Linked DNA regions of Schizosaccharomyces pombe. The gene in region 3 interacts genetically with the main gene of each other region. Each region holds a gene or a part of one and is shown on either strand. Other genes may lie near its edges.

Evidence for each region.
Region 1: mutations in bdc1 (region 3) and nur1 together harm fitness more than expected from each alone (negative genetic interaction), as found in Schizosaccharomyces pombe (2 studies listed by BioGRID).
Region 2: mutations in bdc1 (region 3) and tea2 together harm fitness more than expected from each alone (negative genetic interaction), as found in Schizosaccharomyces pombe (2 studies listed by BioGRID).
Region 4: mutations in bdc1 (region 3) and utp16 together harm fitness more than expected from each alone (negative genetic interaction), as found in Schizosaccharomyces pombe (2 studies listed by BioGRID).

The regions. Positions count from the first base shown.
Region 1 is NC_003421.2:447,486-455,003, forward strand, and holds nur1 (protein nur1), read right to left. Parts: upstream 4,279-7,518; 5' UTR 3,931-4,278; coding exon 2,980-3,930; 3' UTR 2,724-2,979; downstream 1-2,723. Other genes in the region: SPOM_SPCC4G3.12C (ubiquitin-protein ligase E3), read left to right, coding at 1-2,244; DNA repair protein Rhp42, read left to right, coding at 4,884-6,944. UniProt on the Schizosaccharomyces pombe protein: Has a role in meiosis.
Region 2 is NC_003423.3:3,889,803-3,898,091, reverse strand, and holds tea2 (kinesin family plus-end directed microtubule motor Tea2), read right to left. Parts: upstream 5,036-8,289; 5' UTR 4,892-5,035; coding exon 3,005-4,891; 3' UTR 2,836-3,004; downstream 1-2,835. Other genes in the region: trs8501 (TRAPP complex subunit Trs85), read right to left, coding at 706-2,682; Pet117 cytochrome c oxidase assemby protein, read right to left, coding at 5,518-5,688, 5,742-5,837; uba1 (ubiquitin-activating enzyme E1), read right to left, coding at 6,192-8,289. UniProt on the Schizosaccharomyces pombe protein: Promotes microtubule growth, possibly through interactions with the microtubule end, and is important for establishing and maintaining polarized growth along the long axis of the cell.
Region 3 is NC_003423.3:2,421,793-2,429,100, forward strand, and holds bdc1 (bromodomain-containing protein 1), read right to left. Parts: upstream 3,733-7,308; 5' UTR 3,682-3,732; coding exon 2,782-3,681; 3' UTR 2,623-2,781; downstream 1-2,622. Other genes in the region: BAR adaptor protein Hob1, read right to left, coding at 1-466; cysteine desulfurase Nfs1, read left to right, coding at 968-2,473; rkr1 (ubiquitin-protein ligase E3), read left to right, coding at 4,775-4,803, 4,993-7,308.
Region 4 is NC_003423.3:3,648,229-3,655,844, forward strand, and holds utp16 (U3 snoRNP-associated protein Utp16), read right to left. Parts: upstream 3,593-7,616; coding exon 3,555-3,592; intron 3,510-3,554; exon of another isoform or gene 3,489-3,509; coding exon 2,946-3,488; exon of another isoform or gene 2,802-2,945; coding exon 2,399-2,801; 3' UTR 2,133-2,398; downstream 1-2,132. Other genes in the region: karyopherin exportin-T Los1, read right to left, coding at 1-1,853; ubiquitin protease cofactor Nxt3, read left to right, coding at 4,079-4,192, 4,261-4,335, 4,452-5,567; CENP-H-like protein Fta3, read right to left, coding at 6,246-6,908; protein vac7, read left to right, coding at 7,317-7,476, 7,552-7,616. UniProt on the Schizosaccharomyces pombe protein: Functions as part of the small subunit (SSU) processome, first precursor of the small eukaryotic ribosomal subunit that coordinates the first two steps of ribosome biogenesis in transcription of the primary transcript pre-RNA and pre-18S processing.

The DNA.
Region 1 (7,518 bases), on a different chromosome or scaffold from region 3:
TCCGAAACCCTGGTTACCTCATCCGCTCATTGTTCCACCCAACCTCATAAAGATGAAGCATATTCACATCATGGCTATTCAAGTACAATGGCGTTAGATGACAGTAGTCTAGCACAAACTTATCATGAGTATGAAGAAGGCACCTCTGGAAACTCCCCATTGAGGAGAGCGATTGGCTCTTATGATTTTCTTCATCCTCGTCCGTCCGGTAACTCCTCTCGTTTGGATAGGAATTCGTCACGCCCTTTTACCTCCTCCTTCCATTCTGCTCCATTTTTAAGTTCTTACGGCTCATCAAATGACCCTTCTCAAGAACGTGTAAACGAATATTCACTTCCCTCAAATTCAAATTCAACTTACACGACACCTCTTCAATCAATTAACAACGAACATCCCCTTCCCACTGTTCTGGAAAATAATGCTCTTTTAAATAACTCCGGTAACTCCCCTTCTTTAATAAACCATTTGCGTCAATATCTTAATCAAGATTTTAGTCGTCTACATCAATCCCCTTCACCCATCCCTAATTCTAATGATAATGACTCTCAAACCCGCCGGTCGTCTTGGTCATCTATCGCTTCTGCATTTAATGACTTTCCTGAAGAATTTCCGAATGCCAGCAATCCTGAAGCGCATTCGAATTTTACACCTCTTAACGGTAATGATGAAAGCACCGTCAATATGCTTAGCCGGTTACTTTCTGCTGCTGCCATTGAAACAGTTGCTTCAATTATGAATAGCGAAGCTAGGAATATGGACTCCCAGAATATGGCAAACGGTGAACCATCTCGCTTTCGTTCTGTTGATGGTTCATTTGAACAGTTCTTAACCGACCTTCGTAGTGGAAATTTGACTAATGTTCTTCAAAACTCTTCTCAAAATGGAAATGATCAAATTTCTTCTGACCCTGAGTCTAATTCCTCAGACCTTCAATACTTAAGGATGTTCCGTTTTCCGTCGTTTCATCAGTCTCACAATCAACCTGCCTCTAATAACGAAGCTTCAGATACAAATGGACCGGCTTTGGTGCCTGTCCTTATCGTTTGTATGCGTAGCATTTCCGAGACTTCCGAGGATCATGCGCCAACTATGACTCAAGAAAATCAAAGCCTTCATAACGAGAGTAGAGAAAACATATCCATTAACGATATAACCGAAAGAATGGCTCAGTCCACTGAATTTTCCACTGATCTTCCTCCTACATTCGAGAGAAGCAATTCAACTTTTTCACATCCTGAACCTACAAGAAGTGACTTTAGCCAGGCTTTTACGCCGGTATCCGATTTCCCTGCAAATCTTTTTCCTGGTTCCAGAAATTTGTTTCCAACGTCCAACTCGGGTAATCAATCTACTTCTTCGTTTTCGCGCTACAATCAACCTACTGTTTCCGTGGATTTAAGGAATTCAAGTATACTAAGAAGAGCTCAAGAACCTGTAAATGGTTCAACTGGAGAAAATCACATTGGAGATGATTACATTTCTTCATTATTGGATAGTTCAAATTCCAATTCACAACGACCGTTTTCAACAGTGCCTTCTGAATCAAATGTTTTTTCGAGGAACGCCTCCGGCAATTTCTCGATGTCACAAACTCATCAGCCGACTACCGATAATACCTCCTCATTTTCCACACAGCCTGGAAGGTTATCTACAGGACTCCATCATTTTCCGTCTGATCGAGATTTACTGTCTAATCAAACTAGACGTTCTAGCTTAGCACGGAGCTATAGATTTGAGGAACAACTTTCTGTTGATGATAATACTAGCGACTTTAGTACGTTGGCTTCCAATGGGGCTGCCGACATGGTTACTCAAACGCATTCAGAGGGAACTTTCTCTAATAGCACCCATGGTGATTGGCTTATCTATGTGTTTGGTGGTCTGTTTCCAGAACATCATCCAGTTTTGTCTACAGTTAGCTTGTTTAGCGATAATCCCATGTATGAAGACTTGTTGGCTCTTACTACATACCTGGGTCCAGCGAAGAAACCAGTCGCTTCTCATGAAGATGTGAAACGATCGGGCGGACTTTTTGCATATTTCGATGATGCTTCACTTTCTAGTGCTGATTCTTGTCTAATATGTTTAGAAACTTATACTAACGGTGACATATGTCGCAAGTTGCAGGCTTGTAAACATTTTTTCCATCAGGCCTGCATCGATCAGTGGCTTACCACTGGTAATAATTCCTGCCCGTTATGTCGGGCTCATGGGGTTACGACACAAGCTGAAGAGGAAAATTAATTTTGACTTGAAATTAAAGCTGGCCTTATTCTATGTTTGTTCACTCTCATTTATTTTCCTTCATCCGTCAAATTTGTTGAATAATTGTTCGCACTATTTGCTTGTGAATGAAATCTACATAATAGCTCTTCCCATTTTTATGGCTGCTATAACCTAAAACTGCTTGACCTTGTTCAACTATCTCTTTGGGACTTTCTCATTTTTCTCATTTATGACCTTATTGATAAAATTTTTGTAATTTTCTACTTGCTGCACGGAAACGAATTGTTTTGTTGTGCGTCTTTTGTTAGAAATAACAATTGCCTTTTTTACAAAGCTGAGTTTTTTCTAAAAATCATTTTAGTTAATCGGTTTGCACGTTTAATATAATTTATTTTCCTTTTAGAAATTTTGCTTCGATTTTTACATATTAGTTTAGATACAAAATTGATGCACATTATCACTTTTAAATATATTTTCTAACAAACAAGAGTATTCATATTTATAATCATGTAAGGATTTTAATAAGAGATCATATTGAATAAGCTTAAATTATAAGGATTTGGTTCTAAGTCGATCATCGAAAGTTTTTAGAATGACGGTGTTTGATACCCTAATTAGTCTTCATGAATACAATTATTTCAGGTCTGAATTGAGTTATGACTTAAAACTTTTCGAAAATAGGAATTAACAGAAACAACAATGATAAATGGAAATGCAGTGGGTCATTCAAAAACCATGTAATTCAGACAAATATTAAAAGCGAGAACTACCATCACTAAGATGTGGAAATCTCTTAAATGGTGAGCTGCTGTCACGACTAATTCCGCTGTCATGAAGATGATGAACACTTCTTCTTTGAAGCGCTATAGGGGTACGGGGTGTTGAAGTGAGATGATCATGTGAAGAACTTCGGTGTTCAAGGAAGGTATCTATGGGTTTTCGGGGTGTGAAATATTCAATAGATGCGGTTGTGGGACCACGAGTAGTATTAATGGCAACATCTCGTTTAACTACCGAAAGTCGAGGTTCTACAAATTTCTTATCATACTCAAAGAATACCTGGCGATGAAGATATTGTTGATCTTTCAGCAGTAAGGAAAATTTATTGACAAAATGCAATGTTGTAAACGAAAGGAGAAAAGTCAACAAAGTCACGCGTAGAGAAGTGCTATAAAACCATAAAATCAAGGCATGAGCAGGAGAAAATAAGCAAGCAAAATTTAGTAAAAATTGATTTGGGCTCCATACTTTCAATTCAAAAACTTGTTCATCGCCATCATCATTATTTGAGTGCTGGAAAACTGGTTTTACATTGGGAGTAGAAGTCGTCGTGCGTTTGTCTTGAGGCAAAGTTCTATACAGCTTATTTTGAAATCGAGTGCTAAATATGAAATTGAGAAAGCTGATGAAAAGAAAACAAATTGAGAGAAATGATAGGAAGGCACGAAACCAGGACCTAGAGGTGTTGATGGACTGCTTATCCACAAAGAGCTGGTTGCGTTGAACTGGTACATGCGTACTTTTTATATAAATGCGCATTAAGAGAAAAATAAAATTGACAGCCAAGCTAAAGGGAATCGAATAACGATCTGATACTTTATCCCACTCTACACTGTCAAATTGTTCGCAAACATAGATAAAGTAATCGATCGGAAGATTGATTATTTTAGAAGTCAGCGATGTACGACGGATTAACTTTCCCATTGAAAAGATTTTTAAGCAATGTTTTGAAATTCAGGTGTACTTTTTGAGTATAAAACAACGCCGAATTAGAAATGAAACAAACCATGGACCTGAAAGGTAAATTCCGATATTCGTATACTAATGAACGAAATTAGGGCACTTCTCCGTTTCAGGATTCAAACCTTACGTATTAATTAGAGTAGCAAAGGCTTTTTAATTAGCTAGGTCGAGCTTGCTATTATCGACTTCAATTGCAACAATGAAGGATAAAAAGTTTTTTATTAAGATAACTTTTTAAATCCGGTACGTAAACAAGTGTGCAATAAAAAAGAAAAAAAAAAGAATTTGCTTTCGCAGGTTGATGTTCCTAAGTATTGGTGTTATTGATGGTTTCAACTTTACCACTACTACTGCTGTGCAAAATCAGTCGTCGATTTAAAATTCCTATTTTTAGGAAATATAAGCTCGATCAGTGACATAAATTTAAACAGTTTCGTTTGACGTTTTACTAATTAATGAATTATTTCCTTAAAATTTAACGGCTGAAGTTTTTTTTGACTTATGTTTATTGTCTCTTATTAATAGTGATGCATGTGGTTTAACTTTTTATTTAATAATTTATTTTCATGTTATGTTTCAGATTTAAATTTTTTAAATCTTTATTTCACGGTTGAAATCAAAAGTAGTTAATATAGCTCATAATATTCAGCAAACAAACTACTCGCCATTCTTGCGCAGTTGATACTGACCTCTTTTTCAAAGGACTTTTTAATAATCATCATCACAGCCATTGTTAGAATTTTGCTTTCTTGTTGGAGAGATTGCTTGAAATAATAATTCTTTAACTAAGAATATATCAGATGTGGCTGTGATTACAACTTTTTATTCAATTTATCGTTATTGATATTATTTGAACCAGCGGTTAAACAAGCATTATCCTAAAGTTGATTCAATTCACATAAACTCTTTGCTCAATGCCACCCAAACGCAAAGCATCCAAGAACTCTGTTCGCGGAAGGAAACGTAGGACACGGACCAATAACTTACCTCTTAATCCTGAAGTGAAAGAGGAAACTGTTGTATCTTCAACTCACCGTCAAACTCGTAGCCAGTCGAAAAAGCCAAGTTTGTCTTCCTCAGCGGAACCTCCTTCTGAGAGTTTAGATGACAATATATCAGCGTTAAACTCACTTCAAAGGAGCGCATCTTCATCCGAAAAAGGTTCCGATGAAGACAATGAGAAGTTAGGCAGCTCAGAAGATGACGAGTTTGACGACGATTTTGACACTTGGGAACAAGTTGATCTTTCTCCTAATAAACAAGAAGATAAAAAAGATTTACACATAGTCACACAGCATATCACTCCTCAACTTACAAAAGAATCGAAGAAAGGCTCTTCTAGTGCAATGGATAAAAGCATTCGATTATCTATTCACATTATGCACTTTACTTGCTTGTTGTACCATGGGTCAGTAAGGAATCGCTGGTTAATGAATTCCTTACTTCTTGATGGGCTGCGCGATTTGCTTGTCGAAAAGCAACCGTCCGTAGTGGAGGCGTGGGTTTGTAGTAGCCAGACGCACGAGGATTTGTTAAAATTGTTAAATGGGCTTCGGATGTGGTGGAATAAATCTTTTAAAATTGAGAGTCATGGGCTTCGGAAGTTGGGGTATCGTACTTTGAAACAAGGATTTGATATCGGCTTTTCGCCAGAAATATTTCATAACTTTCATGAATACCAAGCATCCTTACTTTCGCTAAAAGGAAGCCGGGATTTGGCGGCACAGGGATTTACTGCTCTCTGTCGATCTCTGAATCTGAAAGCAAGACTTATATTTTCTCTTCAACCTTTGACATTTTCTACTGCTTCCTATGATGATTGGTCTCCACATATCCTCCCTGAAGAAACTAGTACATCTATAGATGACGACCTCCGCTATCCTATTTTTTGGACGGAAATCTATGATCAAAGTGAGAAGAAATGGATTGCGGTAGATGCGGTTGTCTTGAATGGGGTATATACCAACGATATGACTTGGTTTGAACCCAAAGGAGCGTATGCAGAGTCAAAACATCTACGAATGGGTATTGTTGCTGCATATGATAACGATTTATACGCAAAAGATGTAACTTTGAGGTATACAGATTACCAATCAAGTAGGCTTAAGAAAATTCGACACGTTTCTTTTGCAGATAAGTATTTTGATTTTTATAAGGCTATTTTTGGGCAACTAGCAAAGCGCAATAAAGATGCAGAGGATATATATGAAGAGAAAGAACTGGAAAGTAAAGTGCCCATTCGCGAACCTAAAAGCTTTGCAGATTTTAAGAATCATCCTGAATTTGTATTGATTAGACATCTTAGAAGAGAAGAAGCATTGCTTCCTAACGCCAAGCCTGTGAAGACAGCAACCTTTGGTAACGGTAAGAAAGCTACCTCTGAGGAAGTGTATCTCCGAAAAGATGTGGTCATATGCAAAACGCCTGAAAATTATCACAAAGAAGGACGAGTAATTAAGGAAGGAGAACAACCTCGAAAAATGGTGAAGGCGAGAGCCGTCACAATTAGCAGGAAGCGTGAACACGAATTTCGGGTTGCTGAAACAAATGAACCAGTGCTTCAGGGTCTATATTCTTCCGATCAAACTGAGCTATATGTTCCGCCTCCAATCAAAGATGGTATTATTCCTAAGAACGGTTATGGTAATATGGATTGTTTTGTTGAGAGCATGATCCCCAAGGGCGCAGCACATTTGCCATATCGAGGAATTGCTAAAATTGCCAAGAAACTCAACATTGATTATGCGGATGCAGTTACAGGGTTTGAATTTCGTAAACATCGTGCGATTCCAGTTACTACAGGTATAATTGTACCTGAAGAGTCGGCTCAAATGGTTTACGAAGAATTTCTTGAGTGTGAAAAAATCAGAATAGAGAAGCAGCAGATGAAAGAGAGAAAAATTATTTATGGGCAGTGGAAACACTTGCTAAATGCACTTCGTATTCGAAAGCGTATTGAAGAACAATATGCTTAATTCCTGGCTTTCGTCGGACACTTTAGGGTTTGTATAACCGGATGTGTGTTTTTTGAACAATGAGGATACTTAATTCCAAACGTTAGACTCATTTATTTATTTATTGTTTTGCAAAATTGACATTTGGTTATTTGTGAAGTATTTTATTTATTTAAAGGAAAAAGAGGAAGCAAACTACCAAATTATCTAATATTTTATTGATTTAAAAAACCCCAGATTTTTATAGCACTATTTTTCATATTGGTGGATCACACTCTATTTTTCGCTTTATAGATCACCCAATTGCATTACCTTGCCAATCGTACTACAAATTTTTTGTTTGAAGGAACAACGACTTAATAAAATAAAATAAAAATAAAAATAAAAATTTTCATTACACGGTAATATCCAAGTTGCTTAAAAATAGCTAAGTCGTAAATTTTATTAAAAAATTAGATATATTCATATAATATTAATACTTTTTAGCATTTTTTACGAAAAAGATGTAGTAAATATAGTTTAGAAGGAATCTTATCATGAGTGTTGCTAAGTACCTCGGTAACCTCGATATTATGGTATCATGGTAGGCCCATTT
Region 2 (8,289 bases), 1.5 Mb from region 3:
TCGTATATTCCTGAAGCTACCTGCGTGGTTTACTATATACAGTTTTCAAACAGAATTAATGGTATGAGGTGACTTGTCACTTGTACTTTTGTAATGTTACAAATTGCTAAATTTGGAGTTCTAATAAGGTGCTGATGATTTGTTTTCAAAAATTCAGACAATGAACAATTTATTCTAAAACTGATAAGATAGACAAGTTATAATAACATCAGCAATTTCGTATGAAGTTGACTAATGTAAAATCGCATATATCTAATATATGTTATATTGAGTATGATACTAAATTATAATTTTGATATAATAAATTATAATGCTAATGCTACATTTTAAATTGGAAATCCTAAGCTCCTTTATGCCAGCTCCTATTCCTTTTTCAAATCTTTCAAAATTATAGCTTACACCTCTACTCTTTGAATTTCACAGTTATTTTTTATATATACTTTTTATTTTAAAATAATTATTGACATCAGTCTAAATTCTAAAGCAACATTTCAAAAAACGTGAACAAAAAAAAAATGAAGTTTTAATTTCTAAAGTCATTAACTAGCTAATTGAATATAAATATGATACTGTAAGCGGTAATATAATTTTTCAACTTCGCATTAATCGCGCTTGAATTAATAAGCTCATAACCAAAATCGAAAGTTTAGCACCTACATAAGCAGATCTTGTACCAAAGATTGCCCAGATGACAGGATGAGTTGTCTAATGAAAAGTATTTTTCACCCGAAAGTTTTCGGAAAGCGTTGGTTTTAAGTCCAGCATATGTTCAGAAAGCGATTCCCATCCTGATTTTGAATACACACGATTAGCAAGATTCCAGCAAATCTCTGCCATTTTACAATGGCCACAGTCCCGCCAAAAGCCAGCGCTATATGCAAACCAAAAAGCAGCTTTTCTGCGGCGATTTCCATCAGTAACACCAACATGTTCCTTATTACTATACATTCCAGCTATTGTCGTATTTAAGAAAGAAGTTTCAAACGGATTGAGGGAAATAGGGCCTGGTTCCAATATCTTTGCAAGCCAGGATGCTGCAAAGTCGATACTAAACGCAGGCTTCAACGAGAGCAACAAGCTTGTAACTAGCACACTTCTAAATGTATAGTAAAAAGAGTGAAGACGAACAGCATAGATATAAACCATTTCGTCGAACCATTTGTTCAAATACGAAATTTGCGACTTCAAGCTGATATTCCGATTTTGCATTAACAGACATATTATTTGGATTTCCTCGCAAGACGCTAAATAATTCCAGGCTTTGTCTTGAGAAAATGTATTCCGAATCTCATCATAAATTTCATAAGCACGTTTGTAATCACGAAGCATAAAAGAAAAATCCGCCATTTTTCTTTTTATGCTTTCCTGCTTTTCTGAAGAATAAATAAGGGATAGTGGATCATAGTTACCTTGAGAATGGCTTGAATGATTACGAGACCAGTATTTTTTGGAGGCAAATAGAAGCCTGGTAGTTAAATTACCGTATTGAGGGGTCAGATCTTCTTCCCAGGCCCGTACGCATCTTTGCATAAAAGGATATATACTATCATACAACATTGTTTGAACAAACTTTTTCATCCCTTCCACTTCTTCTACAGGCAGTAAAGGATAAAGAGGCAAACACGATTGTTCGGATTCGGCCTGAACTTCTAATGATGATCTCCATTCTGGAATTGGAAATTTTCTTAAATTTTTAGTCACAAATGTTATCGGTTTGGCATCATCACTAGATGAACAAAAGCTTTCGCTTTCCATCGAATCTCTAGGTGCATTTTTTAATGACTGTATAGAAGACGTATCATATCTGTCAGTATCTAAAGGTTTCGCTGATATGTAATTCGACCTTAATCTAATAAAATGAGAGTTTGCGCCAAGACTTCTCCGCATTTGCTGAAAAATTTGCTTCGAATTTGAAAGATCGTTGTTATCTTCATCATGTATAAACAAATAGTAATGTAAAATTTCTTTAGAAATAAAATTAGGAAAGGGCGCATTGTTAATTTCTTTGAATAAACGCATAACAGTTGCCATAGGATTGGTATTATGAGACGTTATAACAATTAGACAACCCACAGGATGAGAAAAAGTTTCATGTTCAGCTACCGGGTTACCAGAAAGTAGAAGTTTGAGATAATCCAGAATGGGATTTAAAAATCCATTTTCGGGGTAATTATTGCTGCCCGATTGAACCCACTCTTCTATGAGCTTCTGACTCAAGACTCTGAAACTATCAATGTCACCGCCAGGAGCAAATCTAGAATTTGCGCAATTTTCTAATCCGTTTTCGGTATTCCAGGCTTTATTTCGCTTCCACTGCCGAGGAACTTGTACTGCTTCCATAGGAACAAAGCGAATTGAGTCATGATCATTATCAAAAATCCTAGAATCCAAAGTTTCCTTTGAAATGGCAGAATTGTTTGTCGAGCTCTGAAAAATGCGATCTCCGAACGGTCGAATAAAAGATGCAAAATCGTCAAATCCTTTACGCTTCATGAAATTTTCTGTGTCATCAGATGCCATAATAAATATGTGCGGACAATATGTGTCACTGATCAGCTGTCGAAGCTTTAGCCCAAACGCATTGTTGCTCACCGATGACGGTGTTACATGAAGAGAACTTTGAGATGCATTAGGAGCAATTTCAGAAAGGCTCCTGGTTATAAAATTTGTTGCAATGTCCATAAGGATGTGTTAACGGTATAGAGGATAAAAATTCCAAACGTAGTATATGATTGTAGCAGGTCGTCGCAAATTTAATAAAATTTTGCATAGAGAAGCCAACCTATGCAAATTAAGGATTTATTACAATGTGTCATTACAAATTATTGGAAAAAATCCCCGAAAATTCCAAAATATTATGCAAAAGAAAGAGATGCAACTGCGAACCGGCCTGTTTAGTAAAGAAACATCGTATCGTTAAAGTAATTTAAGGAGACATACAGGTTGAATGGGTATAAAATTGTAAACAAGGTTGATGAGAAGACGCCTATAATTAAACAAGGTATCAAGAAAGAAGTTGCGTTTCCTGAGTCACAGAATCCTTTTTCGATTGCTGTTGATCGTCTGGCAAAATTTCAGTTTTAGTTTCATTACTGAACTGATCAGAGGAGCTTCTGCTTCCCCTAGTAACATTTTTCTTTAAGATTTTGTGAGGGAATTTAGCAAGCGATTGATTGAAATCGGCAATATCCCGTTGCTTCTGAGCATATCGAAGAGCATAAATAATTTGTTCTTTATCTTGTAATTCATCTCTTAGATCTGCAATTTCGAAATTATGGTCAGAAAGCAATTCCTCCATTCGTAAACGAGCTCTACTTATAGCAGTTCCTTGCGAACGCTCTGCCTCTAACATGGCAATGTATGTATCTCGTTCCTCTAAGTCCGAAGTCAATTGCTTCACCAAAGAAGCATAATATTCAACTTCTTGGGCATTCTTTTCAAGGGCAGAGTGTAAAGATGCTAATTCAGCTTGAACATTAGTCACAGCTTCCGCTTGGCGAATATCTTGAGGCAAATTTTGAGCTCTAGATGCAAATTTAAGCGTGTTAGTAGTCTCCATCGTATGGTTGGATTCTATGCTTATCGTTGCTAAAAGTGATATTTGTGATTGGCCGGATAAAGATTGCTGCAACAGACGAGTTAACTTAGACTCACGATACGGTATATGTCCTGAATTTGAGGTAAGTGAAGGATTTGCAGCTGCTGACAACCTAGAAATAACAGTTCCTAATGTTAAAAGAGATTTGTTGATAAATGCTCCTTCTTTGCGTCTTTCATGGTGAGCTGAAGCTCTTTCACTTCCAGCGAGATCCACCAAGCTGAGACTCGAAATTTGTGAAGTGTGAGCAGTAGGATTATTTCGAATAAGAAAAACCTGAAGAATTGCATGCGAACGAGAACTATACGTATTGAAATCGGTTGCTGCTGTTTTTCGGATTGCATTGCACTGTTCAATAACCTGACTAACCTCTTCGGGGCTAGTGACGAGAACTCGAGTTAATGGTGTAACATTGACTTCTCCAGATGCATTTTCGCGTATTCTTGGCTCTTCGTCCGAGTTTCCGATTAAGTCTCGTATTCTCTCATTATAAATTTCTAAATAGGATATACGGATTTGAAAGGTATCGTCATCAGAATTGTTTTCAACCATTTCAAATAAATCATTCATGGCAAGTGGAATAATACCAGGTTCGTTTTCCGTACCTTGCATAGAATATGTTTTTCCTGTGCCGGTCATTCCATAAGCAAACACTATTCCATTATATCCGGAAAAAACATTACGGACAACCGACTTAACAGAACGTTTGTATATATCGTAATTTTTAGATTCCATCCCAAAAACATTATTAAAAAGATATTCTTGCTGAATTGTGGACGAGCTTGTACTTGTTTGCTGGCGAATGTATTCACGACCATATGGGTCATTGCTTAACTTGCCATGTGACCATACACCTTGGTTTTTACCAATAGGTCGAATACGTATACTTGTGATAATTCCTGAACCAACAAAGTTGCTCTCTTTTAAACCTTTAGAATTGGTTTGTTGACTTGTTGTAGATTCATAATTAACATACTCATTTTTTAAATAATCCAAGTCCTTCGACGGATACAAGGCAGGACGCGTGTATCTATCTAAAGTTCCAGGAGACATCAATTTCTCTGTAACTCCCAAATCAAATGCTGTAGGCCCATTTACATTTGTTTGAGTGCTATTGCTTCGTAGCATAGGTATGGAATAGTTCGAAAAATTTCGGGACAATGGTGACGTTGGGGAATATGGAATACTCCCTGTTCCACTCTGAGATGGACCAGTCCGTATGCCAGTCATTGTAGAATAGCGGCGAGGTGTAACCAACCCAGTATTCACGGGTTTTGAGGAAGATGAACTCATTTCATGAAGTAGAAAAATAACAGGTTAGAAAATGAACGTGCTTATATAAAATAAAAAGAATAGAAAAATTTCCATTAAGTGGTGGTCAAATTTACTCAGTTTTGAAATCTTTCAACAAGCTAGTGAAATGTATTAGAATTTGTCAGACATAAACTACCTTCACCATTCACTTCATTCGCACATTAAGGAATCTCAAGACACTTCGGCATACTTACCTCGTTACGATGGTAGTAACCATTATAACGAATAACCAGTAAACTATGACAAGTTTATATTACTAATAACCGGATAAAGTAAATTTCATTAATATATAGCATAATGTAAATTGATTTATATTTCCTTTTTGAGTAATGTTAACAAAAAACTAGCTCTTTTGCCTATAACCCTCTAAGATTAACACACCCTGTTATGCCGTTTTCTAGATGTAGTTACTTCTTTTTTATTTAACCGAGCTGAATTTCTCAATATTAAATCCTTAAAATCTGGCAAAGATGAAAAAAATATTAATGTATAGTAAAGGTAAATAAGTTGCTCTGGATAAATTGGCTGAACACTGGAAGTCCGAGGCTATAGGTTTCAAGCTGTCTATAATTTCGATTCGTCCAATCTGTGTTAAAAACTTGGTTTTAGTCGTTCACTGTTGTTTGCGTTGTCTGTCGGAGACCCTTTTCGTCCTCTTCAACAGGTAGCTGGCTTTCGTAAAATTTTCGTAACTCTTGTTGTCGCTTTAGGTCTTCAAACCTTTCTTTTTTAATTCTTTTCCTTTCATCATCTTTTTGAACTCCCGCCGACATTTTCTATACTTACATTAGCTATGGTGCATATTTTCTTTAATATAAGTAAATATTACCTCTCGTTCAATAATCTGATTATTATGTACGAAATAAACCATGTAAACACTAAAGACACCGGCCCCGACGATACAAAGTTTTGAGGCAGTAGACATTGGCAATAATTCTAGTTAAATTTAATATAATGTATACGATAGACTTTTGTAGCCGAGTAAAGATATACTCTTAGGTAAATTAGGAGGTTAGCAGTCGAAACTTACGTAAATGCCAATCGCCGACGTTAAAAAAATTGCTCAAAAAAACAACAATTTTACTACATGTCAAAATACTTTTTAAAATATAACAGATCTTAGTTCATAAAAATTAGAAAGAGTATAGGAAAAATAATAAATTATTCATACATGCCTATTAATGTTTTTTAAAGACTGCTAATACTAATTTAGTAAATTTATTAGAGCCATTGGCATTAAATGTTGCAAATTCCAGGAATTAACCGGTTCTCAAAGGTATTACAACTTGATACAAATAAATGGAACTTCAACGTCTTCACCGTTGGCATCATCACAGCAAATTTCAAGCACCAAGTGTTTCCGGAAAGGTTCTAGTTTTTTCTTAGTAATTTGCTCAACCAATTCAGAAATTTTGAGAGGCAACCTTTCAGCAAGTTTCTTAGGTGGTTGGAAATTAGCATACAAAAGAGAAACTCCAGATGAAAGCATGGTCACTTCCAACCCCTCTTCTTTTTGGAAATAATCAATAAGCTCTTGAAGTGTGCAGTCCGGGAGATTGTAGCGATCCCAGATTTTGTCGATTTCTTTACCATTGACTTTCATTTTCGGAGAAGCAATAGGATCAGAAAATGTAAAGAGCCCTATAGCAAGGTTGAAAAATCCATTTTTATATTCCTCGATCTTCTTTTTGCCATCAACAAGTTTAACAAGCTCAAGACATACAAGTCCTGAAACGACAGCAGTTGATGTACACATGGCTGGTACAATTTTACCGGCAACAAACTTCGTCTTAAACCTATCCGCAGGTGTGATGTCGTAATTCATGGCACGCAAATTTGATGCAGCCGTTATAAAGTCAATGTGATGATTAGAGTCATCGTCCTTTTCAAATTCTGCCGGAGTTAGTCTAAAACCCACAAGAGAGGATGGAGGTGGTAGACTGTCAGCAATCGATTTCAGTTCTTGTTTATCTTTATTAGCAGCGGTTTCGGGAGCTTCTTCATTTTCATTGACTTGAATTTTAATACCAGACTTGGGAGCAAAGGGAGGAGGATTGTAGCCAGCAAGAACGCGTTCGTAAATAGCTGGGTCTGTCTCACTCTTAAGGCCGTAGTTGAATGCATAAAGACTGGCTGCTGCAACTATGAAGTCAAAATGCTCACGGTTGTGAATATCAAAAGATAATGGAGTAGGGGCACGCTTAGGACCAGACCAAAACGGTTGGCCAGTGGAGGTTACAGAATCCTTAGGGAAATTGAAAAGTAATTGCTGAATGTTGTTGTTAAAGAACTTATCAAACTGCAAACGGGCCCACATAATACATTCCTCAAATGAAAGAGGCTTCTCCGTAACAAGATAATCTCTAATATTTTCTAAAACTTCACGGGGGTTACTACTCGTTTTCAATGAAGTTTCCAAAAAGTTAGGAGAACTAAGGTACATATTAACGTTATCGATAGGCTGTTTAAACAAGCCTTCAAAGAGATCGCGAGCCCATGCAATGGTGTGCTCAATACGGTTAGGAAAGTTCTTCAAAGTACAGATAGGAAATGACTTTTCAGGAGGGTCTTGGGATGATCCGTACGACTCTGTAAGATGAGGTACAACAACTTGCGTATTACCCTTAGTACCCAAAGTACCAGACTCTAATAATGGCTTTTCGAAAAATACACAACGGCGGTCAACATACATTCGAGCTTCGACGTTATCCAAAGCATTCGTGACTAAAGATAACTTTTCAAAGAATTCATCGCCAAATATGCCTTCGCTTTCTGGTCCAACACGTTCTTGATATGAAGTTATTTTACCAGTCAATGAAGGATTCATGATTGAAACAGCGGTAGAAGCACATTCGGACTTCAGCTTTCCGACGTCACGAGGACGAAAGAGAAATTGACGATTCAAATTCGATTTTTCAATGGAGTCCATATCAGTAACAGAAATATGACCACTTTCACCAGTAGCGACACCCATCATAGCCCAGTTTTTCAGCATTTCACATCCAATAGCGCCAGCACCAACCAAAAACGTACTCAAAGAAGCTATTTTCTCTTGAAATTCCGAACCGAAAACAGCGATTTGCCCATCGTATCGACAGCCACGAGGTTTACAAGTTTCTTCACTGATCGTTACAGAAGATGGCAAGCTTTCTAAGGAGTCAAAATAGAAGTATTGCTTCAATGGGTAAAATTTACTGGTGGTAGCTTTCAACACTTCCTGTGCTACAGCACCGCCCAAAAACGCGGACATTGCAACCAAATCACCTCTTGCCTGGTATGAAATTTCCTTAATTAGTTTTTCATCGAGTTCAACATCAAATTGAAGTGTGCTTGCAATTTTCTTACAAAATTCGAAAAATTCAGCTGCATCAATGTCG
Region 3 (7,308 bases):
AATCCAGCTGCTTATGATCGCGTTTCAACAAAAGCTTATCTACATCCTTAACAATCTTGAGCAGTTCACCAGTTGGATTGACAATGCGAGTGTTGATAACATCCATTTCAGAAGCCAAATTCTTTTGGAGATCGTATACAATTTCCTTGTAAGCCTCGGCAGCCTCAATACCTTCCGCATTGCCTTCTTGCTCATACGATTCAGGATCCGAAGCACGCCCACTAATAGGCTTGTAAATTTCAATACAAGCATCGGCAAATCCAATTTGATGATTCAATAACCCATTAATAGCATCAGTATACTTTTTGGCGTCTTCAGCCAGCTTTTTCGCTTCCGTTTCTAAAGACTTAAACCGTCTTCCAGCATCCTCATAAATAGGATCTTTGGTAATCTCTCCAACATTAAACTTGCTGCGTAGAGTCTGCGGCGTACGCGCAAGTGCCTTTGTAAACCCTTTCCAGCTCATCAAGTAATTCTGGTAGTTGGTATGTCTGACCCTTTCAAATTCCCTTAACCATCCTTCTCCGTATTCACGTAGCATACTTCGCAGCAATGCTGATCGTTTCCTGTAATTGTGCCGAATCGCAAATACAGTATACTACGCAACGTCTCGTTATTTTTATTTTTATTTTTATCTAGATGAGGTGAAAACATAGTAAATATAAGGCAAACATTTGATTTTAATTTGCTCGTCTCTATGCTCTTTATTACAGTTTTTATTCGATTGAACAGTGTCTCCGTCGTTTACGATGCAATGATAACATACTGATAATTGCGCAGCTCTACATGTATTGGGTCGAAGCTTAGTTTTGGTTGGTTTCAGATACGCCGCCAACCAAAATTTTTATTAGTCAGATCGCAAAATTTGAACTTAGCAACTGCCAAATTATTTTAAAAAGGACTTGTTTCTTGTTGTTTAGGAAATAAATAAAGAATTAGCAAAATTTCCTCTATTTTGGAAACAACCATGTCCAAAATGGGAAGTTTGATGCTTTCTAGAGCAAGATGCCTTCTTGAACTACGAAGTGCTTTATTTTTTGTCAAGCGAGAGAGTCAGGATATTAATAATGTTAGACAGAGTCTTGGAGTTTACGGTAGGTCGTTTATGACTTCCAGTCGTATGGACAAACCTTCAATGAGCAATAAACCTCGTGAACAAATGTACGGGCTAGGAAACATGACGGCGGTTCAAGAGCCCATACCGGAAAATTCTTTGAAAACAGTAACTTTGGATCAAGCACAAACCGCTGCTAGTACGGTTACGGGATTGCATCCTATATATATGGATTTTCAAGCTACCTCTCCTCTCGACTATCGTGTACTAGATAGTATGCTTCCCTTCTTCACTGGAATTTATGGAAACCCACATAGTCGAACACACGCCTATGGCTGGGAAGCAGAAAAAGCTGTTGAAAATGCACGCCAAGAGATAGCATCTGTAATCAATGCTGATCCAAGAGAAATTATTTTTACATCTGGCGCAACTGAATCAAATAATGCTATTTTGAAAGGTGTTGCCCGATTTTACAAAAGTAGGAAAAAGCATCTTGTTTCCGTTCAAACTGAGCACAAATGCGTTTTGGATTCCTTACGTGCTCTCCAAGAAGAAGGGTTTGAAGTTACTTTTCTACCTGTTCAAACTAATGGCCTTATTAATTTGGATGAATTACGTGACGCCATACGTCCTGATACTGTTTGTGTAAGTGTAATGGCCGTCAATAATGAAATTGGTGTTTGTCAACCACTAGAAGAGATTGGCAAAATTTGTCGACAGAAGAAGGTTTTCTTTCACTCAGATGCTGCTCAAGGATATGGAAAAATTGACATTGACGTCAATCGAATGAACATTGATTTAATGTCTATTTCTGCTCACAAAATTTACGGCCCTAAAGGAATTGGAGCCGCTTATGTTAGAAGACGTCCTCGTGTACGTTTAGAGCCGCTTATTAGTGGTGGAGGTCAGGAACGAGGTTTACGAAGTGGTACTCTTGCTCCATCTCAAGTAGTGGGATTTGGTACTGCGGCCCGTATATGCAAAGAAGAAATGAAGTATGATTATGCACATATTTCCAAACTATCCCAAAGATTAATAGATGGCCTTCTTGCAATCCCATATACATCTTTGAATGGCGACCCTAAATCTAGATATCCAGGTTGTGTCAACATTTCTTTCAATTATGTAGAAGGGGAATCGTTGCTTATGGGTTTGAAAAATATCGCGCTGTCTTCTGGTTCTGCCTGCACATCCGCATCTCTAGAACCGTCTTACGTTTTGCGTGCAATTGGTCAGAGTGATGAAAATGCTCACAGTTCTATTCGTTTTGGTATTGGCCGATTTACAACTGAAGCCGAAATTGATTATGCTATTGAAAATGTGAGTAGACAAGTTTCTTTCTTAAGGAATATGAGCCCGTTATGGGATTTGGTTCAGGAGGGTGTCGATCTTAGTACTATAGAATGGAGTCAACATTGAAGAACGCTTAATTTTACCTATTGAAGATTTTATTTTTTTTTTATATGAACGTATGGAAGTTGAAACTTTTTACCAGCTGTTATATAGTTACAAAAAACTAAATTGTAAATTATCTCATACTTGATTTGAATCTATACGAAATAAATACACGGTTATGATATAAAAAAAAACATAAATTTGATAAAAATAAAATATAGTACCATTTAAAAAATATGTACCCCCAAGTCGTCAAAATTATAGCCAAAAAATGATATGAATCCAAAGCATAAACAAAAAATGTTAAGGAATATAATTAAAATGTAAAACACTCATTGAGAACGGGTACTTGCCTGACGATAAATATCGAAAAGCTCTTCTGTGTAGCGAAAACATTCATCTCCCCATATGGACATGGCGTTGGCTGGATCGCTGCCATTGTACATTTTACAATTAGCAAAGATTCGAAGAACTTCTCGATACAATTCATCCACTTCCGTGATGTTACCCTCTTTGATCATATTCTTCAATGTTCGTAAGTCTTGAGGTTTATAAACTAAAGAATCGTAATCTGGTGCCTCTTTACGATTTACAGGATGACTAAAAGGTGCTCCAAACCTGTGATTAGAAATATTGTCGAGCATAGGAAGCATTGCACTTTGGAACTTTTTCAAAGACTGCTTTTCTTCATTAGACAGGGCAGCGCGCTTTTTTGGAGTCTTAGTTGTGGGTGCAACTTCGGGTTCGATATTTGCAGGAGCTGCAATCTCTGGTGTTTTCTTTCTAGAACGAAGAGATTTATTAGCAGCCTCTACAGGAGCTTCAGTTTTCGCTTTTTTTGCTTCCTTGTCAGCTTCTTCAAGTGCGAGTTGATCCTCCACAGCTTTTGCCTTTGCCTTTGCAACCTCTTCATATAAGCTTTCCAGTTTTTTTTCACATCCCTGTATCTCTTCAGCCAAATCCTTTAGGACATCGTTCCGCAGCCTTTTTCGTAGATTTTTTCGAGCATCATTATCGTTTTGAGAAACTTGGTTGGAGAGAAGCTTTGAATCAGATTTATTGCTATCATGCATCCATTCCTCGACCAGATCCTTTAATTGATCTTGTTCAATTGGCTCTAAAAGCAGGCTGCTTTCTGCCGTTCGATTGAAGAGTTCTTCGTTGGGAGCATTAGGATTTTCTTGCTGAATATCAAGATATTGTAAAACAGCAACCTCTTGAGCAATATTCATTATGCACTATACTTGCATCATCTCCACTAATTTTACAAGACAAGACACGGTAGAAAGGGAGTCCTTCTTTTCGTAGTGTACTACCTCCTTCATACGGCGTGCGCGTAAAACCTAAATTCTCGTTAGAGATTGCTGTAAAACTTCATTAACGCAACAATGCTAAATAATTTACGTTAGTTGCCAACCTTACACATGTTGCATATCTTAATAATTCAATGTCTTAGTTTGAAGACTTCTATAGAATTGCAGTTTGTCAAATTGTAATTGATTCCTATGATACCAGTGAATTATGTTCTATAAACCTTTTGCGTAAAATCTTTAAATTTTGCTGGATAGTCACATCATACTAACCAAGTTTCCAACGTTTTCTGTAACTAACGCAATATTGAACAGATCGCAATAAAAATCATCGTATTTTTACTGCATCCTTAAATTAGATAAGGTATTTTGTAGATGACACCGTTTGATAAGTTACTTTAAATAAGTTTTGCGATTGCAATTAAAGAATCTGATATGTAAGCTACGCAGTTTGGTATCTGATTTAAGGATACGTAGAACTGCGGTGAGTTTTCCTTGTGATCTATTATATTACAATACACAGGTTGTATAAGTAGCAACTGAGTATAGGTATTGTATTAACTGGGTTATAATGTTACCTATCACTAATATAGCTCATAACTGAACTGAGGAACGAGGTTCAGCAGTAGCTCTATTTATAGTATTCAGATAATATTGATCTTAATAGATTATCATTAAGATCAATCTCCATATCGTATCATACATGGTACGATATATAATTAGAACATGTGACATATAGTGATACGCAACGTAGTGTATCATAGCGTAGTGTAGTATTGCTGACATGATATACAGTTTAGCAAGCTACTTAATTCCTTTTCCGTCATCACAAATAGTTAAGCTTTAAAGTATCAGTTTATAAAGCATTGCATACCACAATGAATTGCTTAAAACAACGTTATCAATAACCTATGATAACGTCGGACAGACTGATATCTGATTTCCTTTGTAATTTTTCATTCTTTGTGCCAAATTGATCCGCTGCATTCCATTGCATTGTAAACTAAAAAAAAAGATGAAAAAAAAATCTACGGATTTATACGGGTAAGTAAAGATGTGAGAAGATGGTAACAAAATGGGTTTGCACACAAAATAGGGTCTTTCTCATTGGATATATGCAGAACACCTATGTTATTACAAATCCATACTTTTCCATATTTTGGGGAAGTTTGTTTAAAAATACAACGATTCTTTTTTCTTTATGTATGTGCCGAAATGCTAATCTCTTTATAGCCGTAAAAATCCCGGGATGCAATCGATGTCAGGATCGTTTTCATCCTTGCAAATTGCGTTGGATGAGTCCAGCTCAAATTTTAGTACGATATATGAGCCTCCAGACTTGTCTGGTTTAGACGCAGAAATGATTGTTATTGTGAAGAATTTGCAAAAGCGTGACATCGTAACGAAATGTCGAGCTTTACAAGATTTAATTCAGTGGAATGACCCATCACAGTTTGACAATGAACAGTTTCTAAATGCTTTGGCAGTTTTATTTCCTCGACTATCTATAGAAGTGGAACGACATGTGCGGTTAAAAATCTTTGTCTTCATGTCTGTTCTATCTTCTGCGCTTCAAAAAAAACTTGCACCATGGCTCAAATTCTATATCACACCTTGGGTTATGGGTTTTTTTGATTCAGATCGTGCAGTCTCTGTATCAGCAAAAGACTCTTTTAAAAATTTACTCTCCGAAGAAAAGTGGCCCCATGTTTGGCTGAAGTTTGGATCTACTATCGCACCTATAGTCACTGATGTTTTTTTACATGAAGACAAAGAATCGTTAACGGATTTGCGTTTTTTTTCAAATGAAGAAGCTGAATCGAAAGTTACCAGAGTTAAATCTAGCTGTCTTCTGACCCTTTCTTTTCTTTTCAAACAGACTGCCGATTTAGAAAATCTAGAGACAGATAAGAAGATAGATAAGCAAACCTTTAAGTCATCTCTTTACGAGAACTTGTCTACACTTTTCAAGTCTGACGAATTTTGGTCTTTGGTTTCCTCACCTCAGGATGGTGTCACAGTGAGCCTGAGCGATTTATTGCTCATTATCTTGAAGTATGATAAACCTTTTGTTACCCAATATAAAGAGAAATATTTTAAACGTGTTTCACGAATGATTTCACGACTAACTAGTTTGACCTGCGTCCCTATGCTTAGGCTTCTTAGTAACATGATTTCTAATTTCCCCAACGAGGTTCACCAATTTGCAAATGATTCAAAACGTCCTCTTTCAAAGTTGTTCTCAAATTTGATCACCAAGCGAATCAGCCTTCCTAATTCTGGGTTTTACACATCCTTGCTGAATTTGTTTAAAAGTATAGGCGCTATGCAGCTCGTTCCTTCCATTGAAAGTGTAGACGAATTGTGTGATGCATTCTTAGAAACTGCAAATCAAGAACAACGTTTCCTATCTACTGAAGTTTATGACTGTTTACTCAATTTCTTGTCATTTGTTTATACCGATTCTTCCGATCCTCAAATTAAGGATCATGTCCGTGACCGTTTAAGGACTATATTTACCAGGTATTTTAAAGGTGAATTTGTTCTACGCTGTTCAACGTCTGATTTCGATCATTGCTTGCAAAGTGTATTCGATAAAAATTCAGATTTCGCCTCGCTCTGGAACGAAGTGTTATTTGGTTTCTTTAATGATGAATCTATGGACATTGAAACTATCCCATTTGATTCTTTATCACGTAACTTAAGCTTAACCGTTCAAACAGTTTTATATCTTAAAAATAGAAATTTTCAAACTGGAAATGAAGTCATGTCGATTCTGGGACCTTGTTTGTCATTTTTAATGAAATTGTCTACCCACAAAAATGAACGTATTGCATGTTTATCGGCATCCCAGTTAATAACTGTTTGTCACATATTCAGTGATACTACATTGATTAAACCCGTTAAGGAACTTTTTCAAAAATATTTGGTGAATGATTTGCCTTCTTCGATTTTAAAGCTTGGGCCTCAATCTCCAGCCTTTACTTTGCTTCGTGATATTCTTTTACTTCTTAAAGATTACGCGGATCTCTCTGAGCCTTGGGAAAATGTTGCTAATCAATTCACAGTGTCCTTTGATGAACTGGAAAATATTAGGGTTTTAAATAGTCTTCCCTCTTTGTTTGCTGATGGAAAACTAAGGGGGAAAATTTCCTTGGTAAAAACATTAGTAGAATACTATGATACAGCAGTATTTGCTATTATGCAAAACCCAGGAAACGATTGGGATATGATAAGAGCGTGCATTGGGTCTAAGGAAATCCTTGTTCCAGAAGAAACGATTAAAAATATTTTGTTTACGACCTTGGAGTATTTTCTTACGAATGATTGGGTTGATAATCATTTGATTATTTTGTGCGCATCATTGCATTCTCTGAAAGCTCATCTTCCAACAATATTTGATGAAAATAAATCCTTGTATTCTTTGCTTCCTGTGATCCTTTTCAGTAAACCAGAAGATGATGGCCATGTTGCAGCTCATTTTGAAAGTATCTTCTCCCTATTGAAAGAGAAAGCATTAGAAGATTCCGGTTTTTCTCTTAAACTATG
Region 4 (7,616 bases), 1.2 Mb from region 3:
AATAAATAGAGCTGAGAGTTAAAATCACTATTTCTTATGGAGGAATTTAATGTCGGTACTGGCGCATCCATATCAGTAACGGGAGAAACACTTATATTTAATAGATCACCAAGCATGGCGAGAGATGATTCAGTATAATTTACAACTTGTTTCTTAATGCTTTTAACAAATCGATAAAACAGATACCATGCTCTTGGACGAACACGTTCATTTGTGTTATGTATTCCTCTGGGCCCAACAAAGTATTCTATTAAAGCGGGAATAGCCGCAGATTCGTAATCGAAGAAACTAGCGTATCGTACTAATATTTCCATGTACAGAAGCTGAACTAACGGATGAGGATGTCGGCAAACTTGTGAAGTGGTAACTAATGCTAGTATTTGAGAAAGAACAGTCGGAGATTTATCAACTTCATTAAAAAATGCATCGGGACCCCGCAATCCTTCACCAAAAATATAGGTTTCATATAGCGCAAACTCAATAAGCTGCCATGAATTTTCAGGAGATAATGTAGCAGCAGTAGATAAACTAGAAGTTATAGCAGAATACATGTACGAAGAAAATAGACTAGAATCAATAGAGTTAATGGTATCTTGAAAAATCTTTAATTTTTTACGCATTTCTTGGAATTCGGCCTCTTCCTCGCTATCAGGATCGTCATCCCACTCCTGTGATTCATCATATTTCATTTTCTTTATAATAGCTTCTAGCAGAGATTTAAGAAATTCTTTTAAAGAAGCACTAAGTTCTTTGGAAGAAGATTCTTTCCTAAGTGAGACAAGTAAGTCGGACAAAAAGGGGAAAACTGCTGTCGAGGTTTCATCATAATCATCAGAAAGATATCTGATAAGGTATGGAAAAAGATTGTAGAGCTGAAATGAGCAATTTTCTTTCAACTCTGGACTAAGTTCTGAAGGATCGGATTTTATAGCGACAAGTTCAACACCCTGTGCATTTATTAACTTGGCGACATGTTCGTCGAAGTTAGGATCAGTGGATTGTTCCTGCGACTTTGAAAAGAACAAATTCAGGTTAAGAATATTGAGCAGATTAAGTTTCTCAAGTGGCTTCATTTTCTTATTCACAATTTCGGTCATTGTCTCGCATGCAGCGCAACGTAATTCTTCAATTTGAAGGAAAGAGTATAACAAGTTCATACACGGTTCATTAACTATCAAATTTATATTGATCCAAGATACCCACTGTGCATATACTTGAAGGCACAATCCAACCGTGCCATAGTTTTTAGCATTACTATAGGCCAACATCATTTCATAGACGAATGAAACGATATCAGACATATCATTTGCCCTAATTGCATCTTTTACTAAATTATCTTTTTGAATTTGAACATCTGTCTTTAAAACCAATGAATCAGCAATCTCATCGCCGATGGAAAGTAAAACCTTCAAATAAAAATTTGAAAACTCAGATTGAGACGACGCCGCAATAACGCCTTGGAGTGAAGCAAAAAAATCATTCCAGTTGCTTGGATATAGTTGAAGAAACAATAATGTCAATAAATGTTGTACAGCATTACTAATATAAGCTGGTTCATCCAAAAAGCTTAATTCCTTAATATAAGACCAAACACTGTCTCTTATCATCTGTAACTCTAACAAATTGCTTTCATTGTTCCATTCTCTAACTTTCTCACTAAGAGTTTGAAGGCAAATCAGTCTTGTTGATGGTTTATATTTCGTTTTTTCACTAAAAATTTCATGGCATATTTTCCAACCTGTAGATGAGCTTCTAAGGCTACCAATAAAATCTGTAGCTTGTTGCTTTATTATTGGTCCTACAGAAGGATCTAATGCTGCTTCTACTGCGTTTTCGACATCCTGGGCCGACATGGCTGCAGAGGTGAAGGTCAACAATGCTTTGAAGTGACAAAATTTTTGTGGTGCTAAAAAGCGAAGTTTGCCTAGTGCAAGTAGTCGAAAGTACAAACCATCTCAGAAATTTATATGCAAATATTTTATAATTATAAGTAGTAAATGTTCATACACTAGACAATTAATAATATATTTATGCAAATTTTGGCCTTATGAGCTATAGCTACTGATATCTATAATATCTATGATGTACGAAACGTTACATGAGCGAATTTCCTCTAGTGCATGGCAATAAATCCTTGATACAACTTTAATTAACTCATGTTTGTCTAAAGTGTTTATTTTTAAAAATACTATGTTAAACATTTACCAAAAAAACAGCCGTAAACTGCACTTAGCATGTCCAAAGCTTCAAATAATGAATGTTTTAGAACCCAGACAACCTTTTCCCAACCAATATTATTAATAAACAAAAAAGTAAACCCTTATATTAACAGAAAATGCAATGCTTGTGCCTGACTTTCAATTTACAGCGAATGTGTTGCCAAATAGAGAAAGGAAAATTAATAAGTCAAGGGACGTCGTCTTTTAGACGCCCGGGGAACTGATTGTCGATTTATCCAATCCCGTTTACGCTGTGACAGTTTCTTTTCATAGTTCGGCGCTAGTAAAGGGTCATTTGTTTCTTTAAGAACGCTCACTTTAAAATCACCTTTACGAAATGAACGAGTACGTTTTTTAGGAATTTCGTTATTAGGAAAAACAATTTTATGTCCTTTTGGAGTATATAGGTCAAGGCTTGCTTCGTCAACCTTTTCTTCGATTTCCGTGGTACTATTAATTTCTTCAACTTCAGCTGCCTCAAGAATAGCCAAATCCAACTTTGATGCGCTTACCCGTTGGGCATTTCTTTCACGATTTCTTTCATTTTGCAGTCTACGTTTTTCTCTTTCAGCTTTTCGAAGCCTAAAATGTGTTAAAAATAATACTATCAAAAGCAAGGAAACGAAATGAGCAGTCGAACTTTTATCAAACAAATTATTATTCTGTCTCAAACCAAAACAAATAGTATTTTTAAGTGTTTCCCTCATTCCGTTTATTAAAACTTACTGTAATTCATTCCCTTTCAGACGTTGAAGTCTCTTTTTTACCTCATCGCTGCTGCTCTTCAGCGAAACTTCTTCAGGTGCTTCATCAGAATCACTGTCAGATGATTGATTTTGAGAGTAGTGTGAGGCTTCATTATCTTCAATTTCCGCTTTCAACAAATCATTTGGTTTGTTTAAATTTGAAAATGAAGGACCTTTGCTTGGGGCAGTCAATCTTGCCATTCTAGTATTTGACAAATTTTCAATTTTCGAATAAGTAATGCAACAAAATGTCTTTATCAGAAGTTTATACCTTAACAGACAAGTTTTGGATTTTAATACTATAAAACGAAGACTATTAAAGGATTTGAAACTTTTTTGACCTGAATTGGTGTAGGAGGAGGATAACTGGCAATGCGAGTGAAACTTCTTAATGCCACCAAAATGGCAGTGAACAAAATGGATAGGATAGGTACTTTCCTGAGTCTTACAAAATTTATCAATAAATAATTTATTTAAAGTAAGATACGTTGCAATTATAGCACTAGATTTTAACCCTTTAATGCTGGTAAATAAGAAGAAGAAAGTAATTTCAATTTTCGTTAATTAAATGATTTAAAGGCTCGCATACTTTCTTTTTAGTATCATAATTTTTCTAGACGATTGCATTTAAAGCTGTTAAACTAATTGACTTTTGGCAAAATCATTAGCAGGTTAATCTCTCTAGCACAGTATATAGTCGTATTACTATTCAAAATGTTTAGTGGTTTCCAATGAATTAACGTTTCTAATATAATCAATTTGCAAAACAATAATAGAAAGAAATATATGCAACTTTGATCTATGGTAAATCATATGATGTTTATGTTATTTGTTGAAATGAAAAACCAAACAATTTTCTGACCAAAAGGTCTCTCTTTCCATCAACTAACTTACTTATGCGAACAAGTTGAATGTAAAAGATCAACAGAAATATCGTTTAGTCTCGTTAAATCCAATTACGAAATGCTGTAATCACGGACATTGAAAGCAAGGAGATGGGACATTAAAAAGACCAACGCACGGAAAACATAAGACACGACCGAATTTTGTTTTGGGTCTTTTAGAGCCAGATTTTCTGTTCTTTGTATAGCTATTGTCACAGTTAAATAAAACATGACTGCGGAAAATGCCACATTATTAGAACCAGTTTTGGGAAAGGATGAGATAGGATGGATGTTCGTTCAAGAATATTATACATATTTAAATAAAGAACCCAATCGTCTTCATGTAGGTCGTCATAATTTACCAAAAGTTTTTTTTTCTTCAACTTGTGAACCGTACTAACTGTAATACAGTGTTTCTATACTAAAAAGTCAACTTTAATTCACGGAGACGAAGGCGAGAGTATTAGTCTTTGTCATGGACAACAGGTATGCTTTAACACAATTCTTATATGTAAAGTTTTTGAGGTTGTGATATTCTGCTTGCGATTTTCGAAACTCTATGATCGTTGTCTTGCCCAATAGTCATTTTATTAACGTGTTAGGAAATTCATAACAAGATATTGGACTTGGACTTTCAAAATTGCAAAGTACTTATTTCAAACGTTGACAGTTTGGCTTCTTCGAATGGTGGCATTGTCATCCAGGTCCTGGGTGAAATGTCTAATAAGGGGAAATTATCCAGAAAATTTGCTCAAACATTTTTCCTTGCAGAACAACCAAATGGTTATTTTGTTTTAAACGATATTTTCCGTTTTTTGCGTGAAGATGTTGAGGAAGAAGAGGAGTCACCTGATGCTGTTGAAAAAGAGAAAAAAGATGTTGCTTCTGAACCTTACGTAAATGGCGTGCAATCTCAAGAACATTTACCTTCTGCAAAAGAAGAAGGCCATTACCAGGATCCAGCTGCTACAGAAAATAATTTTGCCACAGCCGCTCTTATATCAAATGAGACCGACAGTCTAAATCAAGCTACTTTGGCTGTTCCTGAAGAACCCGTTATCCAAGTTACGGAAGCCTCAGTCCCAAGTTTTGTTTCTCAGCAGGAAAATCAGCTTCAAGATGAAGCTCTGACTTCAAACTCGAAGAATGCTGATGCTATAGGGGCTAGCGATGCAAATGTTGCTACAGCACCTAAATCTTGGGCTGATCTCATAGCTCGTAATCATCCTGATGTGAAATCCCAAGCATCAGTTAGTTCTACTGCGTCTACAACTGGTCAAACAGTTAAAGGTGTTAATGCTGACCAAACTCAGCAGCCAACAGCGCCGTACACTCAGAGTAATGAACTGTTGGAGACATCTGTATTCGTCAAGAACATTCCTCCCGAAACATCTGATGTGTCATTGAAATCTGCTATGAGCATTTTTGGACCAGTCAAGGCTATTGAGTTTGCTCGTCGCAAAGGCACCGCATATGTTGATTTTGTCAACCATGAATGCGTGCAATTGGCTTTGAACAAAAAAACTTTGCAAATTAACAATGCCACGCTGAACATAGAAGAACGACGCCGTCTTTTTTCCGGTAAATTCAACAAATCGGGAGATAAGAAGTCCAACGATAATTATAATGGAATGAAAAGGAATTTTCGCAAAGGTAACCGTGGTGCTTTTGACGGTCGTTCAAAAGAAGTGACTACTTCTAAAAAGCAAAATAATTAAGTGTCTGTTGTCCATACGGTTTTTAAATTATAACTGATTTGTATATACTATTGACTCTTGACTTTTTATACATTAGCAGATGCCAGTTTTCTTGCGACTGTGGAGAAAGAATTACTGAGCTCGCAAAATTTTTGATTGTTCACAATCTATTTACTATATATTAGTATACCTTTGATGATGTTCACAATTGACATCAGCGCCTCTATATTGTCTCATTCCAAAAACCTCCGACTATTATAAGCCTTCCTTTTTTAAAAAAACAACGGTGGTTTGTCCGCTTGATTCAGTTTACCGATAACGCCCAACCCTACTTCATTTTGTAGAGAAATCTATTATTTTTACGGTTTCGCCAATTTTCTCCTTTACATCCGTTATTGTTGTTAGAGTACCTTTAAATAAAATTTTATGTATTCTAGTTTCTAAAATTTTTACAAAGAGTAAAAAAGGAGCTTTTATTAAAAATATTCATAATAAAGAATTCATTTACTCTAAAGGTTAGTAAGAAAAATTATGAAGTCAGAAAAATGAATGATTGGCCCTCAGTATGTCAAATATCGTCCCACATCGCATGTCAATAAGACAAACGGCTCCGTTGAAGAAATTCAAAAAAGCATCACTGGGCTTATAACATTCATAAAAACATACCAAATTTTTCGTTCACAAACAAAATAAAGACTTTTAATAGGAACTATAATTGTCTTCACGATCACCACATAGATCCATGATATATGCAAGTTTTTTGTTCTCTAGGAAACTAATGCCGGATTCGAGCAAAAGTATTTGTGTCACGTTTCTAACGATTTCCCAACGGGCACGCGCTAACTTCAAGTCAGCTAATACACCTTCAATTGAGCTTCTATAATCAGATTCTTTAGACGCATACAATTCTAAAGAAGAAGAAATAGATTGCACTGAAGGAAGTAATACAGATTTAATATTTTCTTTTTCCTTCTCAATTTCTTCACTAGTGAAGGTAATACTGCTTTCGATTTTTAAATTTTCTTCCGACAAATGTTCTGTCTCGTTCAAAGGGCTACTTATAAAGCCCAATGAATTAGACTCATCATATAGTCGCTGATATAGTTGTCCCACTAAACTATTAGTAGTCATGAAATTGAGGATTGAGAAGGCAGCATTTCCTTGTACACTATCACCACAAGTTTGCATAAAAAGAGAAAAAAGAATTTTCCAATGTCTTAAAACGTTATTTTCCCATTTTTTCAGGACGTGCTCATTCCGCTGTTCTTCAGATGGTTCATTCGAGATAACCGAAATAGGTTGATCGGCAAGCAGTTGTAAAGCCCCTAGACAAAGGTTTGATATTTGGTCGTTATTATCCATACGGTCAGTTCGTTAAGTAACAAGCATTTTCAAATATTGAACTAATCAGTATTTTCCTAAAAATCGAGGAATACGGAGATAAAAAGCTTTAGTACTAATAAAAGACTATTACATGAAGAAACCAAAATCAGAGATTATTTAAAGGAAACCGGGAGTTCTACAAGTTCTCCTGGTTTTCACGTAGTAGTTTGCTAACGTCAAAAATTTTAAGGAGTTATTAGCACTAGCAGCTAATAATTTAATTAGGGTAGGGCTTGGCAACTTGACGTTTGTCAAATGTATGTTGCACTATTTATCCTTTGCCAATGTGGAATGCCAATACATATACATAGGAATGGAAATATCGAAAATCAAAATATTTTCATAAGCTAACTTCGAAAATACGTAAATTCTGCTAATCAGGAGGATATGTCGGAGCCCAAGCCTATGCAAATGTCTGTTGAGACTGAGACGGTCTTGAATGTGTCTCAAGTGCAGATTCCGAGCAGTTGCGATAGAAAAGCGTCTCTAGAAACCCTTAAAACAAAAAAAAATGCTCAAAAGAAGAAAAAAATTAGTTTGCCCAATGGTATGCATCTAGCAGCTGCTAGCTTTTGAGGACACAATTTGTCTATTTCAATCATTATATTAACATGCATTTTAGTAATGACTTCCAAAGCAGCTATGTTTGCAGCAAGAGTGGCCTCTGCCGTTGATCAGGATCCAAAC